Linked DNA regions of Drosophila melanogaster. The protein of the gene in region 1 purifies or fractionates together with the protein of each later gene. This does not show direct contact. Each region holds a gene or a part of one and is shown in the gene's direction. Other genes may lie near its edges.

Region 1 (3,279 bases):
AAGCCAATTAAAGTGCTCAATGCTTCCAAATTGCCCAGTGGATTGCTCGTCACCAGAAGGGCGCCCGCATTGGCCCGATCCTTTGCAGTACCCTTGTGCAGAGCGGTTTGCAACCAGCGAGCATCCGAGGGATTACCTAAAGATGAGATAAAAACATTAGTAGGGGTTCCAATTTCCGAGTCGAGAAAGTCTTACGTTTATTAAAAGTTATCTTCTCCGCTTCGAAGGAATTCTTGCAGAGATTGTACAGCTCCAGCTGATCGTTCTCCTTCATGTCCAGCACCTCATCGGTGGACGGATAGTCGGGATGCTAAGATACGATAGTGATAACTATAAATGATTTATTTCCACGATTTCAGTTTAGTTTCAACATACCACATGATACCACTTCTTTTGGGACTCCTCGTCTTCATCTATTTTTGACTGATATTTGTTGTGCTTTTTGGAAATGGAGTCCCCCAGTTCCTCATCACTGTCTCCATCGCTGTCGGATACATTTTTTCCAGCTCCATCCTCATCAAACTTGATTCGTTGGGGCTTTTTAAAGTTCTCCTTGGACTCTCCGTCATCTCCAAACTTGATTTTTTGGGACTTCTTGGTCGGTTCCGTCTTTGTGTTGGAAGAATTCGCAGTTACTTCATCTTCTCCATCATCAGTGAACTTGATTTTCTGAGGTTTATTGGCGAAGTCCGACTTTTGACCATTATGTTTATGGTTGTTTTTGTTGAAAGGTTTTTGATGCACTGCTTCTCTATCCTCTCCAAATTTGATTTTCTGTGGTTTTGGTCCATTTTTATGATTTTGGTTGAACGACTTGGAAGCTACTTGTTCTCCATCATCGCCGAACTTTATTCTCTGTGGTTTGTTGGCAAAATCCGGCTTTTGGTGGTTCTTATTAAAGGACTTAGCACCTTTCGCTTTTCCATCCTCTCCAAACTTAATTTTCTGCGGCTTTTTCACCTGTTCCTTCCCTTCAAATTTTGGCCTTTGTGGGTGCTCCTTTTTGTTTTGTTTAACTACCGCCTCGCCGGAGTCGTCGAACACGATTTTCTTGTTTTTGGGCGGTCCACCGAATTGCACACCTGTGGCCACTGCTGCCGGCATGATTTTATATTTTCTAAAGCTATATATTAGATAAAAATCATTAAATAAAATAAACGGCGTTAGAAACAACTCGCACGTGTATTCAAATATGACATTCACCGCGAAACGTAAGCAACATATGTATGTCGTCTACTTAGTGACGAATTTCATTGTCTTTATGATATTAAAATTTTGTATTTAAAATCTTAAATAAGAGAGTATCCAACTTAGTTTTAAAATTTATAAATTATTCAGTAATTACCATTGAAATGACCGTGACTTTTGATAGCAGGTGGGTTTGAAGTTATATAAAGCTTGAAGTTATTATAATCTGATTATAAGTAAGAATAAAATTGAAATTCTTATATAGAATTACTATTAATTTATAAATTATTACATTAACTTATGTTTAAGTAACTGAAGTTGTGCTATATTTTCTTTTACCGTTACACCATTTTTCCACAATACATTTACGGTCTTACTGCCTTGACGCGCTTGGGATTTGTTAGGACGTTTATCGCATAGTCCTCGTGTTCGGTCTCGTATTTTGAAAGAAAATCGCAGATTATCGCCAATTTGAAGCGATTATCCCGGTCTAGATTTCGAAGGGGTCCTTTTGGATAGCGAACATTGCAATGAGCACCGAATCGGCGAAGCCGGCACTCAGCCAGGAGGCCATTGTGGCCCAGTTCCAACAGCTGCGCAATGAGCAGCGCAATTTGGTCAACAGTTTAAATACGCTCGAAATGGATTTGAGGGAACACAAGTGAGTCACCGGGGGCCCAAAGATGGATGACACGTCTGTTTGTGATTTTGGGCAAGTGGGAGAATCCCTGCAGACACAATGACATAACTCCTTATCCTCCCTAGAACTGTGATAGAAACTCTGGAGGCGGCGGATCCCGAACGGAAATGCTTTCGTCAAATTGGTGGTGTGCTGTGCGAAAGGACCGTGAAGGAGGTGCTGCCACAGCTGGTGGAGAACAAGGATTTCATCGCCAAGACCATCCAAATGGTCACCAATGACCTGAGCAAAAAGGGCAGTGAGCTGAACAAGTTCAAGGAGGAGCACAATATCAAGATTCGCGGCGAACACTTGGTTGCCGAAGGAGCCAAGGGCGACGATGCGGAGGACAAGGCGGAGAACCGTAATGTCCTGGTGTTCAACTGAGAGCGATTGATTACCTCACCACACCGTATTTATTGTGTCTATGTTGAGAGGGAACTCTGCCAGGATTTGCGAGCGATAATCCGCGTTTATTGAACACTTCTAATGTTGTATGTACTTCTAGCTGTAAGGCGCAGTTCGCGAAACGCCTCCAATCGCACCTTCACACCAACACTATCCATCAATTCCCCTCATTTAAACTTAACCCACTCTGGCCACGAATTAAAGATACCTTAAACTTCCGATTGAAATTAGTCATGTGTCTTGTGATTCATTCAAGATCTGAAAATGGATGGACCTCTATCCACCGACTGGAAACAAAAACTATATAAACTATATGATTATTTATCCCTTTTATGCCATTTGTTCTGAAACATTTTATTGGTATGTTAGTCAAATTAGTTTCCTATAAGGAAGTGATTTCATCTACATTTTTACACTTATGTATTCTTGCTTCATAAGTCTTTTAATTTAATATTTGTGGCTAAATCAAGTAAGCAGTAGTTTATTTTCCATTCCCCGTATCGTGGTTAATCCGGTTAGTCGGGTATTCGACTTATTCGACTTCTGTAACTATCCCATTTTGCGGCTCCTCCCTCTGGAAGTCCCTTTTTCCGCCGGATTTGCTTAGCAGGCGGACATTTGTGATGCAGATATCGTGAGAAACAGCCTTGCACATGTCGTACACAGTTAAAGCGGCCACTGAAACTGCAGTTAGTGCCTCCATCTCGACTCCAGTTTGGCCCGAGCAGCGAACGGTTGCCTCCAGCCGCACAGATTGTTCGGTTTTCAGAAGAGTGGCCTGCACTTTCACGGAGGACAAGCTGATGTTGTGACACAGGGGTATCAGTTCGGCGGTTCGCTTAGCGCCCATTATGCCAGCAATTTGGGCTACGGTTAGAACATCTCCCTTGGCCACTTGATTGTCGGCTATAAGTTGGGTAAGTTTCTCACCCACCTGAACGGTGGCCTCTGCACGAGCTAATCTTGTGGTCGAAGGTTTTGCGCCCACATCCACCATTTGGGCC
Region 2 (3,288 bases), on another chromosome or scaffold:
TCTGTATACATATTAATAATCGCATATATCATTTTGATGCGCTATATTAAAATTTTTGTCTCACTATCAATACCAATTAGTGTATCATTTTGGATTAGATATACAAAATACCTATATACACTCGATATACTACTACTAATACACGCACACTCACCTCACTCACACAATCACCAACTCACGCATTCGATCACTAGCGAAATTACTGGACATACTTCTCTCGAATTCTTAATGGAAACCAAGGCAAGGTATGCTGTAAATACCTAGGAAAGTACTATATATACATGAATATATATATATATATTTAACAACTAAAAAACATATATATACTGCATTTCAAGAAACTTTTGATATATTTTCGAGTTTTTTAAACCCTTATCTTGTATACAAAAAGGAAGCGAAAGCGAAAACACGAGACAAACTAGCGAATCTAGCTGAAATGAACACCTAGGACAATTACAATTACAAGTACATAGCGAAACACAGTACATACAGTACATACAGTACAGTACAGTACATAAACACAACTATATATACAGGACATACACGCATACATTCAAACTATACTATTTATAAATGTACATCTATACAAAATATACATACATGCATACCATATAACGTACGAGTATGTTTAACGATCAATGATTATTATTACGAATTACGTCCCTTCGATTTGATAATGAAACCAAACGAAAAGAAACCACAAATTTTAACGCTGTTGATAACCAAAACCATTCCCACTTATAAATGTAACACTCTCTCCCGACAACTTTCTCTCTATCTCTTCACAATGTTAATGCTGCACAATGAAAACTCTGCATTTAAAGTAAACCACTAACGTTTATTCGTTTCGATTCAAGAGAAAACCAAATTATATATAACTAATTATACAAATTTGCCTTGCGATTTAACAGCGAGCACACGATATTGAATCCAAAATCCAGATGGGGAGCTTAAAATATCCGCGATTAAGAAATCGAATCGACACGCCCTCAAAAGCAAGATCTTCTTCATTGTTTCAAAACGAATTACATTTTATTAAGATCAAAACCAAATCAAGGTAAATGTTATGTATGTATGATATAGTGGGAGGATCGCGAAGGACGAGTACAGTTAGTTGTATGGGTAAAATAACATAGTTAAAGCATATAACTTAATAGTTCAAGGATCGGAGGAGCAGCGATTGCGAGTGGGAGCGCATATAGAGGGGAACGATCGCAAGTATCGGAACTAAAACTTACTTCTACTTAGGCTTAAAATCATTGTTATCTAATCTATACATATATAAAAACCGACATACAACACCCCACATATAACAGAGAATATGTATATGAACATGTATTGGATGCGCGGCGCTTGAGCTGTGCCTACTTATATATATATAAATATATATATATTTAACAAATTGTAACGTGTATATGTAGCGGCAGTGATTGTTAAAGAAATTGCTTTGTTTTGTGTTAGATTTTATAATTTACGAGAAAACCAAAAACAAAAATTGTAAAACGCATACAAATACAGAATGACTGACAAAACACAGAATTATAACATTGCATATAATAAATACAATAAAACTATAATTGAAAAACAAGTTTGGTTAATGCTTTTTTGCTGAGTAAGATCTGTCTTTAAACTCAAAAGATATTGTAGATTCAGAAGTCACTGATTTTTTTTTTAAATTTTTACTTCGCGCTTAGTACTCGATAACAAATCGTCGGCGGGACTGGACTACCGACTATTTCAACGAATCATTCGATTCCCGATTGCTTCCGTGAAATCGATATTTTCTGACCCAGCTTCATGACATCCCTGTTGAGTTGAATACGCAAAGGTGGCAACCTTATACGGCGACTGAATAAAATAAAAGTGGAATTGTAAATTATAAGTGTAAGCACTAGCAATGGCTGCCACCCCAAGCGCACCCGCCAAGTCCGAGATGATCGACCTGACCAAGTTGAGTCCGGAACAGCTGATTCAGATCAAGCAGGAGTTCGAGCAGGTGCGTTCCGCATGTGGGTGTGTGATGAGTCAAGTGTGCTCGCGGAGGGGGTTTCTGGAGGAGGGGCGCCCCAATTGGCACATGCTTCTAAAATCGGTACATTTTTGTGATCCTTAGGAGATTACCAACGTACAGGACTCGCTGTCGACGCTTCACGGCTGTCAAGCCAAGTACGCCGGATCCAAGGAGGCGCTGGGAACCTTTCAACCCAATTGGGAGAACCGTCAGATCCTGGTGCCCCTGACCAGCAGTATGTATGTGCCAGGACGGGTCAAGGATCTCAACAGGTTCGTCATAGACATCGGCACCGGCTACTACATTGAAAAGGTGATTTACATTTCCAATCGAACCTAGAATATTTATTGATTGCCATCTGTTTCTCAAACAGGATCTGGAAGGCTCCAAAGACTACTTCAAGCGACGCGTGGAGTACGTGCAGGAGCAGATCGAGAAAATCGAAAAGATCCACCTGCAAAAGACGCGCTTCTATAACTCAGTGATGAGTGTGCTGGAGATGAAGCAGGCTGCTGCAGCGAAATTGCAGTCGCAGCAGCAATCGCAGCCGGCGGTTACCCAGAGCTCCTAGACTACGGAGAACGACAGAGACACGAGACACGGAAAGCATTAAATTATTAAACTTATTAACGAGATGTGTGCATTTAATTAACGTAGTTTATTAAATTGTTCAGCTATTTCTTGGCTTCTGCCAAAGCCTTGGTGAGAACCTTGACCTTCTGCTCGTACGCGGACTTAAGATCCTGTAGGGAAAGAAGGTAATAGTATATCAAGTATATCATTGGACTCGAGTTATAAGGCACCTTGAATATCTGTGACTGGGTGTCGTACTCCGAACGCAGCTTGTCATACACTCCTTTGGAGATGGCTAGTTTCTTCTCCGTGAGCACACACTTGTCTTGCTCCGCCTTGATCCACTGCTGGCTCTTCTCCAGACGAGCCTGCGTGTGATCACATTCGGCGGTCTTTAGCTGCAACATGTCCTTGGTCACCTGCAGCACATCCTTAATCGAGTCTACTTGTGTCCTAAGCACTGATATCTGCTGCTCCTGCTGTTTGTTCACCTTGGTCTTCTCGAACAGCAGGGTTTTGGCCTTTAGAAGCAGCTCCTCCTGCTCTTGTCGTGATTTGGGAGCATCTGTGCCGCCCAGCATGACGGACTGCTTGAGCGACTGCTCCAACTGGACCACTCTCCGCTTTAAACGCTCATTTTCCGCCTTGGCTTCCTGCAATCAGGGTCAGTAAGTGGGTGCAGCCCGTGGAGACGAGTAACTAAC

What was found.
Region 2: the proteins of Pfdn2 (region 1) and Pfdn5 purify together in Drosophila melanogaster (affinity purification with western blotting; 2 studies listed by BioGRID, with this or other methods). This does not show direct contact.

What each region holds. Positions count from the first base shown.
Region 1 is NT_037436.4:11,072,686-11,075,964, reverse strand, and holds Pfdn2 (prefoldin 2), read left to right. Parts: upstream 1-1,576; 5' UTR 1,577-1,718; coding exon 1,719-1,849; intron 1,850-1,953; coding exon 1,954-2,254; 3' UTR 2,255-2,673; downstream 2,674-3,279. Other genes in the region: Noc1 (nucleolar complex protein 1), read right to left, coding at 1-136, 196-310, 376-1,104; Mocs1 (molybdenum cofactor synthesis 1), read right to left, coding at 2,808-3,279. UniProt on the Drosophila melanogaster protein: Binds specifically to cytosolic chaperonin (c-CPN) and transfers target proteins to it. Binds to nascent polypeptide chain and promotes folding in an environment in which there are many competing pathways for nonnative proteins.
Region 2 is NT_033777.3:22,485,397-22,488,684, forward strand, and holds Pfdn5 (prefoldin 5), read left to right. Parts: upstream 1-1,642; 5' UTR 1,643-1,897; coding exon 1,898-1,996; intron 1,997-2,113; coding exon 2,114-2,323; intron 2,324-2,384; coding exon 2,385-2,582; 3' UTR 2,583-2,685; downstream 2,686-3,288. Other genes in the region: CG5376 (uncharacterized protein), read right to left, coding at 2,686-2,754, 2,815-3,237. UniProt on the Drosophila melanogaster protein: Binds specifically to cytosolic chaperonin (c-CPN) and transfers target proteins to it. Binds to nascent polypeptide chain and promotes folding in an environment in which there are many competing pathways for nonnative proteins.